Saccharomyces cerevisiae S288C: one gene and its partners. Changing the gene in region 1 together with any one later gene gives a genetic interaction. Each region holds a gene or a part of one and is shown in the gene's direction. Other genes may lie near its edges.

Evidence for each region. Genes that interact genetically often act in the same process or in processes that back each other up.
Region 2: mutations in DAK2 (region 1) and HSP10 together harm fitness more than expected from each alone (negative genetic interaction), as found in Saccharomyces cerevisiae (one large-scale study listed by BioGRID).
Region 3: mutations in DAK2 (region 1) and YLR156C-A together harm fitness more than expected from each alone (negative genetic interaction), as found in Saccharomyces cerevisiae (one large-scale study listed by BioGRID).

What each region holds. Positions count from the first base shown.
Region 1 is NC_001138.5:20,798-27,783, forward strand, and holds DAK2 (dihydroxyacetone kinase), read left to right. Parts: upstream 1-2,625; coding exon 2,626-4,401; downstream 4,402-6,986. Other genes in the region: AQY3 (Aqy3p), read right to left, coding at 50-1,990. UniProt on the Saccharomyces cerevisiae protein: Catalyzes both the phosphorylation of dihydroxyacetone and of glyceraldehyde.
Region 2 is NC_001147.6:368,480-374,153, reverse strand, and holds HSP10 (Hsp10p), read left to right. Parts: upstream 1-3,309; coding exon 3,310-3,630; downstream 3,631-5,674. Other genes in the region: DDL1 (putative carboxylic ester hydrolase), read left to right, coding at 1-444; protein-arginine N-methyltransferase SFM1, read left to right, coding at 715-1,356; MCO10 (Mco10p), read right to left, coding at 2,197-2,469; YOR019W (uncharacterized protein), read right to left, coding at 3,835-5,674. UniProt on the Saccharomyces cerevisiae protein: Eukaryotic CPN10 homolog which is essential for mitochondrial protein biogenesis, together with CPN60. Binds to CPN60 in the presence of Mg-ATP and suppresses the ATPase activity of the latter.
Region 3 is NC_001144.5:470,435-475,852, reverse strand, and holds YLR156C-A (uncharacterized protein), read left to right. Parts: upstream 1-3,242; coding exon 3,243-3,374; downstream 3,375-5,418. Other genes in the region: YLR157W-D (uncharacterized protein), read right to left, coding at 1-89; asparaginase ASP3-2, read left to right, coding at 1,796-2,884; YLR156W (uncharacterized protein), read right to left, coding at 3,396-3,740.

The sequences.
Region 1 (6,986 bases):
CGTGAAATTAATAATTAGGTTATAAATCGTAAAAAATTGAAAATATTAATTATGACGAAGTAGGCACAGATTTCTTGCTGCCAGTGTTGCTGTTGCTGTTAACACCAGATTCATCTGAGACAGTGCCATCATTCTGGTGGAACTCCGCATGTAAAAGTTTACCTACCCTATTCTCAATATAACCGTTGTCTGGGTAGTTGACTGGGGATTCGCATCCAGTAAAAATGAAAATGTCATATATGAGTGCTCCAGCAATACCGCCGGCAATTGGACCACCCCAGGCTCCCCATGTCCACCACCAATGTGTGAGATGAAAAGCATGTGGACCATAGCCAATCATGGAAGCAAATATGCGAGGACCGAGATCTCTTGCAGGATTGATTGTGAAACTTGTTTGATATCCAAGGGCCATACCAATTGCAGCGACTAAGAATCCAATAATTAATGCGGTCATACCATTGCCAGGTGGAGCATTACTATCATCCAATAGCGCCATCAAACAACCCACAAGTATAGAGGCTCCTATGAATTCGTCAAAGAAGGCATTTCTCCACGTGACGTAAGACTTTGGATCAGTAAACAAACACGCACCGGTCGCCGTTGTTCTTATGTGCGGACCTCCCTCAAATTCTGTGATAGAGCTCCAAAAATAACCATAAGCCATAGCTCCTCCAAAATATGCACCGATAATCTGAGCAACAATATATACGGGCACCTTTTTCCAGGGGAATTTTCGAAAAATTGCCATTGAAATCGTAACAGCAGGGTTAATATGACCACCACTAATACCGCCTGCGACGTAAACACCAAGCATACAACCGAACCCCCATGCAAATGATAGGGATTCATAGGAACCACCACTACCTTTTGTTACAGTTGCTTGAAGATTACCACCAACACCAAAAATGACAAGAACTAGTGTCCCGAGAAACTCCGCAAACGGTTCTCGCATATGATAGCGAATTTTTGCCCAAAAGTTAGGAAATGTCATTATATCCGCGTCTTCATCTTCTGAGGCACCAATTTCATTACCATCTAATGCACTCGTACTTTTATTTTCCTCTTCAATAAGTTCTTCAGGAAGCTTCGTATAAACCGGAGTAGAACCATCGAGGGTTTGCATGTTCTTTAATTTTCTGGATTCTGCATCGGCTATGGAGGATGCGTAGCTTTCATCGCCTAATGAAAAATTGACATTATGCGAAGTACGCTTTTTCTTACGTGAAACATTCTCAATATGCGTGTTAGAGGGCTTTTGTGGGTTTTCAGGCTCTAACTTAGTAGGTTTCACATCTGCACCAACAGTATTATCGCGTTGCGTTTGAGCTTCGATGTCACCAAGCTTTTTACCCGGTGCTGCACCTCTAAGGAGCCTTTTCCAGTCTTTCACTGACGTAGTAGAACCCCCCCTTGAAATATCGGTCGACCCTCGTCTCGATGATGCGCGGGACCTTGCATCCATATTCTTTTGTATCATCTTTGCTGCCAAGCCTCGATCCAATACATGCGGTAACGGCTGATTTAAACTCCAAACAGGCCTGTTCCTGCTACTACCCATAGTTGGATTTAATTGCCGATATAGTGGGTCTACATAATTATTACTGTTGCCTTGATTTACCCCCCTGGATAGATAATCTTGCATTATACGTGCTTGCTCAGCATCTGAAAAACTGTTTAAAGTCTTCAAATTAGGCAAAGAATAAGTAAAACCCATGGAAGGGACCTGTGGTTGTACCGAATCCTTCCTCTCGTCAACCACTTTTTTCAAGGGTGTCAAAGCAGAAAGTTTATTTCTCGATGATCCTCCAGTTTCAATTGCTTTTCGAGTCTCACCTAGCTTTCGCCTCAAGAGAGTGCTGTCATTTTCGTTATTTTCCCTAGATTTTTTGACACTTTCTTCCCAAGCTATTTTACCATTAGGTTCTTCTTTTAGCGTTGGTGGCCGTGTACTCTCGGAAGAGGAGGATGACCTCCCAGATTCGTAACTCATTACTTGGGTCTAGATCATATATCAGAGGAGCGTTATACTGTGCGATTATACGCTTCTTTTTATATGAATAAGGGGGAGACATGGTGAAAAGGTACCAGAACTTTTGATCGACCAAGACTAGGTAAAGCTCAAACAACGTTTATAACTCAAATTTCCGGGGTAAGTGGGGTACCGGAAAATTATGATATTCCGGAGCGGAGTTATCAACGGAGAAAACTAGGCCTTCTGATGGAACTTAATTTAAAAAATTAATCACAACCTATGCATATTATTCCCGCAGAGGGTGATTGTGAGTAAATCCCTGCACAGAAACAATTCCCGCCAGGCCATAACTAGATTCTAAATTATTTAACTCATAATTTCATGAAATCGTATCGTAGTACCAAATAGGGAGATATTGAGCCAAGTAAATTCTTACGTCACCATAGTTGGATAATTAAGTACTTGATATTGTATAAGGATCTCAACAATACGAGAAGGGGAAAATACCGCAATGTGTGATTGAATTTTCAAACTTTGGATCATTAAATATATATAAATGAACCCAGATCAGCCCTTTTTTTTTCTAGTATTGTCTGTAAAGTGTATTTTACCTCAAAATCTGACAAAACCCAACTACAATTGACTAAATAATCATGTCTCACAAACAATTCAAATCAGATGGAAACATCGTTACTCCCTACCTACTTGGCCTTGCTCGAAGCAATCCCGGCCTTACAGTGATTAAGCACGACAGAGTGGTTTTCCGGACTGCGTCAGCTCCTAATTCAGGGAACCCTCCTAAAGTTTCATTGGTTTCTGGAGGTGGCAGTGGTCATGAGCCAACGCATGCCGGTTTTGTTGGTGAAGGTGCCTTAGATGCGATTGCAGCAGGTGCCATTTTTGCTTCTCCTTCAACTAAACAGATCTATTCTGCTATTAAAGCTGTTGAATCTCCTAAGGGTACCTTGATCATTGTAAAAAATTACACCGGTGATATTATACATTTTGGTCTCGCTGCTGAAAGAGCTAAAGCTGCTGGAATGAAAGTCGAACTGGTTGCTGTAGGAGATGATGTCTCTGTCGGTAAGAAGAAAGGTTCTTTAGTCGGGCGTCGAGGTCTCGGAGCCACCGTATTGGTGCATAAAATTGCTGGGGCAGCCGCTTCTCATGGACTGGAGTTGGCAGAAGTTGCCGAAGTTGCTCAGTCAGTAGTTGACAATAGTGTCACAATTGCGGCATCTCTTGATCACTGCACGGTTCCTGGCCACAAACCTGAAGCCATTTTGGGCGAGAATGAGTATGAAATCGGTATGGGTATTCATAACGAGTCTGGTACCTATAAGTCTTCTCCGCTGCCATCGATTTCTGAGCTCGTTTCCCAGATGCTTCCTCTTCTTCTCGATGAGGATGAAGACCGTTCTTATGTGAAGTTTGAGCCCAAAGAGGACGTAGTTCTTATGGTTAACAACATGGGTGGTATGTCTAATCTAGAATTGGGTTATGCTGCAGAGGTCATTTCTGAACAATTGATTGATAAGTATCAAATTGTGCCCAAGAGAACGATTACTGGAGCATTCATTACTGCATTGAATGGTCCTGGGTTTGGTATCACTCTTATGAACGCTTCAAAAGCTGGTGGCGATATCCTTAAGTATTTCGATTATCCTACCACAGCGAGTGGATGGAATCAAATGTACCATTCTGCCAAAGATTGGGAGGTACTTGCCAAAGGGCAGGTTCCCACCGCCCCCTCTTTAAAGACATTGAGGAATGAAAAAGGTTCGGGTGTGAAAGCTGATTATGACACTTTTGCTAAAATTTTGCTTGCTGGGATTGCAAAAATTAACGAGGTTGAACCAAAGGTTACTTGGTACGATACCATTGCAGGAGATGGTGATTGCGGAACTACTCTTGTGTCCGGTGGTGAAGCATTGGAAGAAGCTATTAAAAACCATACGTTGCGCCTCGAGGATGCTGCTCTTGGTATCGAAGATATTGCGTATATGGTTGAGGATTCTATGGGTGGTACGTCCGGTGGTCTGTACTCTATCTATCTTTCTGCTCTCGCACAAGGAGTTAGGGATTCTGGGGACAAGGAACTTACTGCGGAAACTTTCAAAAAGGCATCAAACGTTGCACTAGATGCTTTGTATAAGTATACGAGAGCCCGTCCTGGTTACAGGACTCTGATCGATGCTCTGCAACCTTTTGTCGAAGCGCTGAAAGCCGGGAAGGGTCCCAGAGCCGCCGCCCAAGCTGCTTATGATGGTGCCGAAAAGACAAGGAAGATGGATGCCCTTGTTGGGCGTGCTTCTTACGTGGCTAAGGAGGAGCTGAGAAAACTCGACAGCGAAGGTGGATTACCAGATCCAGGAGCAGTTGGTCTTGCTGCACTACTCGATGGATTTGTTACAGCTGCTGGGTACTAGAATTGCTCGTACACACTAGAAGCCAAACATAACAGCTTTAAAGGCTTTCATTTTTGAACTTTTTAAAAAATTGAATACTCCAACTGAAGGTGAACTAGTTGTGTCTCTGAATATATTTTTATAGATATACGAATTGATGAAGTACCGCAAATTAAGCTAAAAAGTAATGCTTCTTGCAGCTTTTAATTGTTCTTTCTGCAATCTACAATTACTTTTCTTGATTCCTTCTCCGTTCCCCTGTGTTGTCTGGAAGTATAATTTGTCCAGGAAGATTTTTTGAATAGCCATTGTTTTCTTTAAATTAAATCGGAGTGTTTAAATCCATTCCAATCTCTTTTTTCTCGCAAGTCAACAAACAGGTGTTAACTTTCTTTTCCCCGCTGTTTTCTTACCTATGAATAGTCTCAATTCCTTTTTAGAAGATCTGCACATTCTCTGATACTATGAACAAGTTCTAGGATAGCAATCTAAGTTTTATGATTCTCTTATTTCGGATTCGATTTCAATAAAGATCGTAGTATTAGAAGTATAGAATGTATTGTAATTTTTTTTCCTAATCTTATTAATTCATGGAAGGCATTGAACTCAACAGCATATTTTAAATGTTTGTATCTTGTTTTCTCTTTCAAAAAAAAAATGGTGTCATTCATTATTTTATGGTCAACCCTATACATCAATTTTTCTCTGAAAATATTGACAAATAAAGTAGTTGATTCTTGTTCTACCAATTAGTGATATTATGCATGACTGTTAACAACTTTTTGACTAATCTCTGAAATCATATGAAGATCTTGCTGCATTTCATGCATCTAAGAAATCAACCTATATCAACAGATTTCAATAATTACTCTAAACTTATGCTGTAACTTAGAAAGTAACCAGCCTGTGTTGACTGATTGAGTTGCGTATTAACTGCGCCTAGTCATTTCAACACTTATAATTTGCTTCAGCTTAAGTGTGGTTCATCTTTTTTTTTCTGGAAACTTTGCATGCCCTCAAAGCATGAGTAGTTAGTTATCTTTTTGACAATGATCTCTTTTGAAAATATCTACTGTAGATTTGCATGGACGCACGTCGCCCATACGCCAAACTTTGGCAATGATACTCGTTATTCGTAATATCAGTCCGTCAAGGTGCTGTGATTTCTCTATTTTATATTGCCTATTATTTTTTCAAATGATTTGAGCCGTTTTAAATTGAGTATGCAATGAGTCTTTTGAATCAACCGTAAGGCAGTTCCATAACCACTGCCACGAATACGTTTCACTACCTTGAAGAATCTCTAATGTAGGCCGTATTCTTCGCACTTAGTTCTGACGATGTAGACATCTCATTATATAAGAGCATAAGCGCCTGTTTCTAGAATCATTTCTTCGTGACCCAGCTTTTTGAGTTATTTCGCGGTATTTTGAAACATTTCTCGAGCTTGACGTGAACATCCTTATATTTCATGACAAACTCGATCATTGGAACATCCCTGCCTCGATTTTAGAGCTAGTATCAAATTTCAATCTCTTTGTGATGGAGCCCCGCTCCTATTTCAAAAGAGAAGTTTCTTGTATGCATATGTTATTGAAGTCTGATTATAGCAAGTGCAATGTCGTCTCAATTATTTTAACTATTTTTAGCCATACATGTTAGTTATCCTCAAAGAGAGCCTCCAGACTGGGAAGCAGTGTTTGTCATTTCAAATAAGTAGATTTCACAGTTTGTATGATTTTCGAAGCCAGGATTCATTGGGCTTTGAGTAAAGAGAAGCCGCGTATTACGAACAGCTTACGATATTGTAAAATATTCCCTTATTGTGGTGCCCCAATGGATACATGCCAGAGAAATGTCTGTGAAATTGAACAATTACAATGACGAGAGCAAGTAATCCGGCGGCCTTGTCTCTCTTTCACTAGTACCGTCTATATCTCTTGAGCGCCAATATGCGAAAGCTTTCACAAGGTTGATGTTCATGGTATTCGGCGTCGATAGCGAATTGCTTACTAAGAAACATTAGGGTGCAGTACAGCCTTGTTTTTCCAGTTCGACTAACCTTTTTCTTGGCAGTATGGAGACTGACTAGGTCTCCCAAACATTCATTGTAACTGCTGTTTAAAGATTTTGTTCTAACCTAAATTCAAGTGAGAAGCTGAACATGTGTCTCTACTTATGATATCACGACAGCAAATACTAATCTTGCCATAAATAGTCTAGCGTTTTGCAACTTACCTCTAGATATATTTTATTTCTTGAGGAACCGTTTTCGTCGGTAATAACAAAATACTACTGAAACGCCACAGCATTGAGAGAATACGTTATCGATTACGGCTTTCTTCTCGCTCCAGATGTCGCGGGTAAGATATTCACCTCAAACTTTTCTTGTTGAGTGTCGTCACAAATCTAGAACCTACATGCCATCTCAACGATTTTTCTGGAGAAAGGCCTCACTCCGTTCCGTACGTAATGCATAGATAAAGTATCAGGATCTTCACGATGCTCGAGAGTTACTTAGTAGTCTGAGTTTATGCGAAAAAAACTCCGCCGTTGTAATAATCGGGAATACACAGAAGTAGTACTGCACTATCACTGGGATACTC
Region 2 (5,674 bases), on another chromosome or scaffold:
TATAATGTTTACCACGTCTGTGATCCCATTTCTTATAGGATGGAACCTCTTGTTAGTAAAGAAATGGCTCATTACGAACAAACTTATTTACCACATTGTAGTGAAGCTTATGGACTAACTTCTAAAGTTTTGGAATTTGGCGAAAACATATGGAAAGATTTGCCAGGTACTGATGAAAATAATTTGCAGTCCAAAAAAACTTCTCCAGAAAAAAAAGAGGTCAAGTTATCAGAAAATCTTACGAGAATGCTTACAGGTTTGAATTACACCGGACGTCTAGATTATGCTATGTCTCCAAGTCTGCTAGAAGTGGATTTTATATCAGCTATAAAATCACATGTTTCTTATTTCGAAGAACCGGATATTGCAGCGTTTATCCTAAAAGAAATTTTAAGTAAACATGAAAATGCATCAGAAATATATGTAAAAAGAAAGACTGGTTGATCAGTAAACGCAAGGCACAAGTTTTTTTTAACTTTTTTCTTTACTGTCTATTATAGTTCCACTGTGTAAGGTTGTATTCTTTCCGTACTTCAACTTGCGGGTAACAGGATTGACACCTTTTCAATTTTTTCCGTTATTTTGGATTAGAAATTTTCGGTAAGCTCATCGAGTATTGTAAAAGAGCAATGCCCTTTGCTTATTAGATGTTGAGGGGCATATCTATTGTTAATATAGATTGATACAGCTGTGGAGATTATTTCTAGATATACGATGAAGTACATTATTGAGCATATGGAGGAAGGGTTTAGTGAATGGGTCATTTTAGAGTATAGCCAAATCCTGAGAGAAGTAGGAGCTGAAAACTTGATTTTATCATCGTTACCAGAGAGTACCACGGAAAAGGACATCCCTCAAAGGCTACTAAAACTTGGTTTAAGATGGACTACAAAGGATTTGAAGGGCATTAACGAAGATTTCAAGGATTTGGAACTGTTAAAAGATGGCAGAGTCTGTCTATTGGACCCTAGGGCTACAATCGATTTACAGCCGGAGGATGCTACGAAATTCGACTATTTCGTATTTGGTGGCATATTGGGTGATCATCCTCCAAGAGATCGTACCAAAGAACTAAAGACTGCCTATCCGAATCTTTTAATTAGCAGAAGACTAGGTGATAAACAAATGACTACGGATACTGCCATAAGAACAACACAGTTGATTATCAAAGACAGGATTGCATTTGAAGACATCAAGTTCATTGACTACCCTGAATTTAGGTTCAATAAAAATGAGGCCACGGAAATGCCATTTAGATACGTTTTAGATAAAGAAGGTAAACCTATTTTGCCTGAAGGGATGTTGGATTTGATCAAGAAGGATTCTGCTCAAAGTTTGGACGATCTGTTGATGTAGATGAGAACAGTCCTTTAAGTAACATTCTATGGTTGTAATAAGTGATGATGCTTCCTTGTCAAAGAGTTAGTTGAAAAGTTTAGGGTCGTAGCATTAATTATATTGTATATAGTTCAAAAACGACATTCAATGAAAAAATCAAGTTTATTAGCCAATGAATATTTCGTATTTTGCGTTAGTAGCGCTACCAAGACTTCTGAAAAGTGCATGCAAGAAAAATAAAAACAAGGAACCGTTTACTTTTATGATATCATCATTGTCAGGCCAAATAGGATAAAATTGATTGGTTGTATTATGCTTTTTAATTGAAAAAAAAAGTAGAAACTTTTATTATTTTATTTAAATTAATTTCTTTACATTACTTGCATCTAAAACCAAACGAGCTGGTGACTTCAAGCACTGCACTAGTTGCCATGGCTTTGCTAATTCAGACGACCCCCTTGAGGTGAAAAAATAGTCTCAGTAATGAAACAATCATAGGCAATTAGTTCGATTTTTTATAATTATCTTCCAGCCTTTCAAATATTGAAAGGCCATCAACTATCACTTACACCTGAGTGTTGTCATTGATCCGTAAAGTAAAAAGAGGCAAGTTTTGTGCATATTCGTATCATGCACAATGGCCTAAGGCAAGTATTTTCAGTGTTTTTTTTTTTTCATTGCCGTTTTGCTATTCAGAATATATTGAATTATATGTATAATGCATACTTAATAGAAAGAAGGACGCTAATTTTCGTTATAGAACAGTAGTTTCAAAAAGTGCTTCAAGTTTATAGAAATCAGTGCATCCCTTCACTGAACGATGAAGAACACCACCATTTCAGAAATTTTTATACATAATCAGTTGGCTTTCGTATCCTGCCTCGTATCTTTCTCTAAATCATTTAAAAATCCTTCAATACTCTTTACGACATCATCGTCCTTTCCCATAGCATCTGAGTTTGAACTTTCACCGCTTTTTTGTTGGCTCAAGGCAGAACTATTCTTGCCTTCATTTTTGGTTTTTGGTTTCGTGGTAAAGTAAGATGCCACTGCAGCAGTAGCGATAAACGTAGATATAGCCAATACGTGAGGTTGAACCGTCTTCCCAAATACTTTGTATGCAGCACCCATTGAGATAGCTATATTTATTTTTGTATATCTTATGTTTAGAAACAGTAGCGACCTTTCTTACTTGTTCCTTCAAAACTTGACTTAGATAACTATTTACCCTTAAACCGTTAGCTCTGTATTATGGACTGTGAAATTACACCTCGTTACCCGAAGTTCTATTATATTTTCAATCCATACTCCTATGATCTCTTCATTGGGAAAAAAAGGTCCACTTTCTCCTGGATTGCTCGAAGGCTTTCCGTAAAGAAAATACCTTTTATTTTTCTTTGCTTTCTTTCTCCATTAAATAGTAAACGCCTCTTTCTGAGGCAGCTGGCTAAAAAAATGTAACAAGGAATTTTATTTTATTACGGTTCAGCAAAGGCCGTAACGATAGTTGTATTATTTTCGTTCATATGTAGCAGCGATGGTAGCATTTTTTATTGTATAAATTGTGGCTTGCGTCGATTATCTTATTATGCCACTCATAATAAAAAGTTACTCTCAAAATGTCAATATTCAATAATGCATGTCTGTCTTTTTAATTTAGTACATACGTAGGATTAGGTATTGGAAGCAATCATAATGAGTTCTAAAGTTGTTATTTCTCACTTATTGCACCTCTCGAAGTTCTCTCATTAGCCGCCCAATTCTCATTCGTGTGAAGGTCATTAACGGGGTAATGCCCGTCATCAATGATAGAAATTTCTAGAATCTTGAAGGAATGGGAAAAAGAAGCTTGATTATGTATAAAATTAGTCAAAACGCTTATACAGTACAAACTTATTATGTGCTAGGTTTAAAATAATTTCTGATAGAAGCCATTGATCGAAAATATATTGAATCTACAGAAAAAAAAGAATGTCCACCCTTTTGAAGTCTGCTAAATCTATCGTTCCATTGATGGACCGTGTCCTTGTCCAAAGAATCAAGGCACAAGCAAAGACAGCATCCGGGTTGTATTTACCTGAAAAGAACGTGGAGAAGTTAAACCAAGCTGAAGTTGTTGCCGTAGGCCCGGGCTTTACTGATGCTAATGGTAATAAGGTTGTTCCTCAAGTTAAAGTTGGTGACCAAGTTTTGATTCCACAGTTTGGTGGTTCTACCATTAAATTGGGTAACGACGATGAAGTTATTCTTTTCAGGGACGCTGAAATCCTGGCTAAGATTGCCAAGGACTAAGAATGATGTCTTCTTCAACAGAGATTTTATATACATACTCTATATGTATGTACCTGTAAATAGGCCATTATGTATGACAGGAAAAAAAAATAATTGAACTCAAATTTCTTCTGCTATTCAGTTGCTGCCCCCAATTGTCTGCTAATAAAATTGATCTATTCATCAATAGGAATTTTAGGGACACTATGTGTACAAACTATCCGCTCATATTTTGCCGAATAAGAACAATGATTTCTTCTTTTTTTTCTTCTTCTTTTTCTTGTCGTTACGATCATCACTTTCAAAAACATCGCCACTGCTACTATTCCTTCTACTGGATGATTTATTTCCAGAGGAACTTCCACTTTTAAACACCTTAAAAATCCCAACTCCACCCCCAGTGAAGGTGTTCACAGTACTAAAACTAGACGAGCTTTTCTTTGACCCTGCACTACTTGAGGAGTCATTAGTTTTGACTTTTCTTAACGCACCGGCACTTTTAACTTTCCTCAAAGGAATGCTATTATCAACACTACTGCTTTTATCAGATGGATCAAAGGAATTTTCTTTGTCGAAGGAAATACTGTGCCTTATATCAGGCAGATTTCTGGCTTTGCCAAGGGCGGCTCTTCCATCTTTGTGTTTTACAGAGGTTGCAAACTTGATTTGGGACGTAGGCGAGCTACTGAGTTTAATAGTTGTTGTGGTATTTTGTTCCTCTGAGGAAGAATATGGTATTAAAGATTTTCTAAACTTTGTGTTTTTCGACCCATTGCCTATCAAAGCATTCTTAAAGCTGGAAATTTGGTCACCGTGACTGGACTGCGATACATTTTTACCAGGCAACGTCTCTATCGCTAAAGAAGACTTCAATGACTCTCTAATTATGATATCAATTTTCTTCAACAAAAGTTTTTCCTTAGTACATTCTCTATCTTTCTCATCGTCTTGTAATTTTTCTATATCACCCGTGATCTTCCTTCTTGAATGCTGGGCGAGACCGGTCAATTTTCTTGGAATGGAATCATTAGAGGTGTTGAACTGCTTTTTGATGTAGCCTTGCCTTTTGAAATCTTCGGCGTACGAATCTACGGAAATATGTGAAGAAATATCTGATATTGTATTTTTTTTGAACATTGAACTGCTCATGCTCTCAACGTCAGTGTGTTCGTGCTTCATATGATTTTTTGAGACATAATGTTCATTTACTTCTCTTTGTAGATTCAGTTCGAACGAATACATTCGTTTCGAGGGAACAACAAATGTGGGAATCGGATAACTAACAGGAAAGACATCTGTCAGCTTTTTGGATTTATATGTAATAAGATTCTCATTTCGCTCGTGCTTTAAAGTAGCAAGAACTAAGAAATCTGGAGTATGGACATTAATGACATCTACCAGACTTTTTTTAATTTTGCCTACAATTATTTCTAAAGTAATTTTGACGGATATTTTGACCACTTTTACTAGCTGTAAAATATAATCAAAAATGTCGTTTAATTTTTGATCTATTACTTCTTTTTGATATCCCGGTGCCCATTCTGTATCATCTTTTGCAGTTTTTTTCCTGTTAGAAATCATTTTTGGCAGTGTAGTTATGACAACAATGTGATCAAGATTTCGTGCAAACTTGTAGACTGTCCAGTCTAGGGCAACCCACGTATGTTTTTTTCCGTTAATGTGACAAACTATTGTCTTAGGGTTATTGGGATATCCGACCTTTTGTTGAAGTATTTTATGCTTTCTTTTTTGTTCTTTTGTACATGGTGCACTATCATCTCCTCTATATAACGGTTTAATACGCTCTTCAGAGAAGATAAGTTCTGGGTAAGTAAACCATTTTTTTTTGTCATTCAGCCTTTCATTTATTTGTAGTTTTCTTTGGCGCCATAACTTTATCCAGTTCTTTTCAAACCTGTTTATCATCAACGTTTCGTTGACAATTACTGGCGTGCTTGGATAGTCTCTCCTCACTATTTTTCCATTCTTGGATACCAAGAAATATTTTTTGATGTCAGAATTCTTTTCCAACAACTTTGAGGATCTCATTGGAAAACTACTGGAT
Region 3 (5,418 bases), on another chromosome or scaffold:
AGCCAGTGGTGTTTACTTATTAGTTTTTTGACGCCACTGCGCGAGTTGCTGCCTAGCTGTTCCTTGGCCAACGCATATTGGAACTTCATTCGACTGATATGCTTACTCAGAGGTCCATTACTTCAAGAATTGTCTCACCTATCGGGCTTGGCGTTTGTACAAGAAGAAACTTTCATCACCTTTGTTTCGCCACCAAATGAAAAAAAAAACTTGCATGGCTTAGGTGGTTCTTTGTCAGAAATATCTTCTAAGGATCAAGAGTCTTACGTGATTCTAATCCCTTGGCAAGTCAGATCTCAAATATGCTCACTCGCAGATGAGTAGCAATGAATGCGACCAAGTGACTAGTGACTGGTGACGACATGAGCCAAGCTGGAACCAGCAGCTTTCACGTCGGCTTATAGCTCTCTATGGGGCAATCAACCACTCATAGTGACTGAAGATCTTTTTAATATAATTACATTGCTAAAAACGTCATACCGCCTTGTGAGCACGATAAACAGCATATGCATTGAGCCTTGTTATTCTTCGGAACTGGGGATAGTAAAATGCGACCCGCTTAGGATGATCAAGCTATCTTTGGGACGGAGTTTTGTCATGGGAGTGGTCATCCTACTGGTGATGCTTCAACATTTGATTTACTAAATTTTGAAATCGGCCGCAGAATAAAACTATTATGTCCAAACAATTGATGGTCGAACCAACGTTAAGGGTTTCAAGTATTGAATTGAACTTTTATGAGTTCTATAATTTCGTTGCGCAAATTCAACTAAACCACCAATATCCCCCCTACAACGCTACACTTTATACCGATAGAGGAATAACGCATAGAGCCTTCGTAGAATTCTTCAACTCGTACGTGATGGGGATTCTAAACCTATCGTCATGTCGCTGTACAAGGCTGCTGCCTGCTTTCAAATTCCCAATTTTACCATGTCCGTTTCGCTGAGCCGAATCGTCACACAAGGTAATTAGTTCTGGGTATCGCTTCAGTATAGCACTGGTTTTTTCCTTGTAAAACCACAGTCTAACAATTAAATGAAGCTTTTCGAAGAAATTAGACCATGTTAGACTGAAAGCAAAGACTCCGGCCCGTTCTGAGGTAAGTTCAATGAAATTGGACAGTTTCTTTTCAAGGTTAGGTTTTGTGTTCGAAAAAAATAGATTACCGCACCTCCTTTCCAAACCCCATGAGTTTCCATTAAGGAAGAGCAACGTCAATAATACCACCTTTTGCAGATGTGATTCAACTCAAGATGCTGTAATCTTTCCCTTCTGACCCTAGATCACCTCATGATATCCTTTTGAGGCAATTAAAGCTGCAGTGTAAACTGTTGAATATCTTTTTGAAACCAAAAAAAAGGACGTTCCACACTTGGCTGCTTTCTTGATAAGCGAGATCTTTACTTGGAGATCTCGCTTAGTCCTCCGAAGGTAAACCCCGTCTCTTATCTTTAAAAAAATGTATCAGACCCTTCAGCACGTGACAGACAGCAAACTACCAGTCGACGAGGATGCTTTTCCGAAAGTCATGACACAAGGGAAGGACTGTAAGATCGATATCGGCGCAGTCTTATCGGATGTTCCAAGTCCTTGTCTCTTTCATTATCTGCTTGCTATCGCAAAAAAAAAAAAATCAATTTGTTTAATATCAACACATAATGTACAAGAACAAATCATGACATACAAAAGCCATATAAGATGAGTCTTCAAGCAGCACCAAGAGGCCTGAGGCAGAGCAAATGTTGGCTCGCTATTCTTTTGTAAGCAATCTGGTACTCACCAACCTCCAACTATGAGATCTTTAAATACCCTTTTACTTTCTCTCTTTGTCGCAATGTCCAGTGGTGCTCCACTACTAAAAATTCGTGAAGAGAAGAATTCTTCTTTGCCATCAATCAAAATTTTTGGTACCGGCGGTACTATCGCTTCCAAGGGTTCGACAAGTGCAACAACGGCGGGTTATAGCGTGGGATTAACCGTAAATGATTTAATAGAAGCCGTCCCATCTTTAGCTGAGAAGGCAAATCTGGACTATCTTCAAGTGTCTAACGTTGGTTCAAATTCTTTAAACTATACGCATCTGATCCCATTGTATCACGGTATCTCCGAGGCACTAGCCTCTGATGACTACGCTGGTGCGGTTGTCACTCATGGGACCGACACTATGGAGGAGACAGCTTTCTTCTTAGATTTGACCATAAATTCAGAGAAGCCAGTATGTATCGCAGGCGCTATGCGTCCAGCCACTGCCACGTCTGCTGATGGCCCAATGAATTTATATCAAGCAGTGTCTATTGCTGCTTCTGAGAAATCACTGGGTCGTGGCACGATGATCACTCTAAACGATCGTATTGCCTCTGGGTTTTGGACAACGAAAATGAATGCCAACTCTTTAGATACATTCAGAGCGGATGAACAGGGATATTTAGGTTACTTTTCAAATGATGACGTGGAGTTTTACTACCCACCAGTCAAGCCAAATGGATGGCAATTTTTTGACATTTCCAACCTCACAGACCCTTCGGAAATTCCAGAAGTCATTATTCTGTACTCCTATCAAGGCTTGAATCCTGAGCTAATAGTAAAGGCCGTCAAGGACCTGGGCGCAAAAGGTATCGTGTTGGCGGGTTCTGGAGCTGGTTCCTGGACTGCTACGGGTAGTATTGTAAACGAACAACTTTATGAAGAGTATGGTATACCAATTGTTCACAGCAGAAGAACAGCAGATGGTACAGTTCCTCCAGATGATGCCCCAGAGTACGCCATTGGATCTGGCTACCTAAACCCTCAAAAATCGCGTATTTTGCTACAATTATGTTTGTACTCCGGCTACGGCATGGATCAGATTAGGTCTGTTTTTTCTGGCGTCTACGGTGGTTAAAGCCTGATCAGTGACTTTTCATCACACTGTGTTTTTATATAGTTCTTAGTAGTAAATATACTCTATAATTTCTACATCCTTTTCATGATGTGCCAGTTAAGCTATTTTTAGCAAACAAAAAGATGAATTTGAGTATTGAGCACATCATTCACTGTTCAGCTGATACAAAACATATGATTTCTAATATTCACATAGGAAAAATCGCTCCAAACATCGAAGTATCATCGCTACTTTGGTCTTTTATCTGCTTCTCTTCTCTTCGCTCTTTTCACTGCTCGTGCCGCTGCAACGCTCCAACTCAGTTCTATCTCAGCTCCTTCCCCTTATCCCTTGAGCAGTGTCAAGGCGAGGCTGCGTGATGTATTCGTGCGCGAAAAAAAAAACAACTGCAGCACCTGAGTTTCGCGTATGGTCACCCACTACACTACTCGGTCAGGCTCTTACCAGCTTAACTACAGTTGATCGGACGGGAAACGGTGCTTTCTGGTAGATATGGCCGCAACCGAAATAGTTAGGTGTGGCAGCCGTACATATGGAAGCCGGGCGATGGCTCCGCCACGTGCAAAGTGCAGGAGCTTTGGAAAGAGCGTGCATATAGTGATGAAAACAGAGAGCACGGTTGCGAACGGAGGGTCTCACAATGTCTCAAAGGATAAATCTCTTGGTTTGCGGGCCGCATACAAGATATGATTGTAGTTTTTTCAATGGCTCTACTGTCCCACTGCTGTACAACAGAAAATGAGAGATCAGAGAAATAGTATTCCGGAAGCCAGTGGTGTTTACTTATTAGTTTTTTGACGCCACTGCGCGAGTTGCTGCCTAGCTGTTCCTTGGCCAACGCATATTGGAACTTCATTCGACTGATATGCTTACTCAGAGGTCCATTACTTCAAGAATTGTCTCACCTATCGGGATTGGCGTTTGTACAAGAAGAAACTTTCATCACCTTTGTTTCGCCACCAAATGAAAAAAAAAACTTGCATGGCTTAGGTGGTTCTTTGTCAGAAATATCTTCTAAGGATCAAGAGTCTTACGTGATTCTAATCCCTTGGCAAGTCAGATCTCAAATATGCTCACTCGCAGATGAGTAGCAATGAATGCGACCAAGTGACTAGTGACTGGTGACGACATGAGCCAAGCTGGAACCAGCAGCTTTCACGTCGGCTTATAGCTCTCTATGGGGCAATCAACCACTCATAGTGACTGAAGATCTTTTTAATATAATTACATTGCTAAAAACGTCATACCGCCTTGTGAGCACGATAAACAGCATATGCATTGAGCCTTGTTATTCTTCGGAACTGGGGATAGTAAAATGCGACCCGCTTAGGATGATCAAGCTATCTTTGGGACGGAGTTTTGTCATGGGAGTGGTCATCCTACTGGTGATGCTTCAACATTTGATTTACTAAATTTTGAAATCGGCCGCAGAATAAAACTATTATGTCCAAACAATTGATGGTCGAACCAACGTTAAGGGTTTCAAGTATTGAATTGAACTTTTATGAGTTCTATAATTTCGTTGCGCAAATTCAACTAAACCACCAATATCCCCCCTACAACGCTACACTTTATACCGATAGAGGAATAACGCATAGAGCCTTCGTAGAATTCTTCAACTCGTACGTGATGGGGATTCTAAACCTATCGTCATGTCGCTGTACAAGGCTGCTGCCTGCTTTCAAATTCCCAATTTTACCATGTCCGTTTCGCTGAGCCGAATCGTCACACAAGGTAATTAGTTCTGGGTATCGCTTCAGTATAGCACTGGTTTTTTCCTTGTAAAACCACAGTCTAACAATTAAATGAAGCTTTTCGAAGAAATTAGACCATGTTAGACTGAAAGCAAAGACTCCGGCCCGTTCTGAGGTAAGTTCAATGAAATTGGACAGTTTCTTTTCAAGGTTAGGTTTTGTGTTCGAAAAAAATAGATTACCGCACCTCCTTTCCAAACCCCATGAGTTTCCATTAAGGAAGAGCAACGTCAATAATACCACCTTTTGCAGATGTGATTCAACTCAAGATGCTGTAATCTTTCCCTTCTGACCCTAGATCACCTCATGATATCCTTTTGAGGCAATTAAAGCTGCAGTGTAAACTGTTGAATATCTTTTTGAAACCAAAAAAAAGGACGTTCCACACTTGGCTGCTTTCTTGATAAGCGAGATCTTTACTTGGAGATCTCGCTTAGTCCTCCGAAGGGTAAACCCCGTCTCTTATCTTTAAAAAAATGTATCAGACCCTTCAGCACGTGACAGACAGCAAACTACCAGTCGACGAGGATGCTTTTCCGAAAGTCATGACACAAGGGAAGGACTGTAAGATCGATATCGGCGCAGTCTTATCGGATGTTCCAAGTCCTTGTCTCTTTCATTATCTGCTTGCTATCGCAAAAAAAAAAAAATCAATTTGTTTAATATCAACACATAATGTACAAGAACAAATCATGACATACAAAAGCCATATAAGATGAGTCTTCAAGCAGCACCAAGAGGCCTGAGGCAGAGCAAATGTTGGCTCGCTATTCTTTTGTA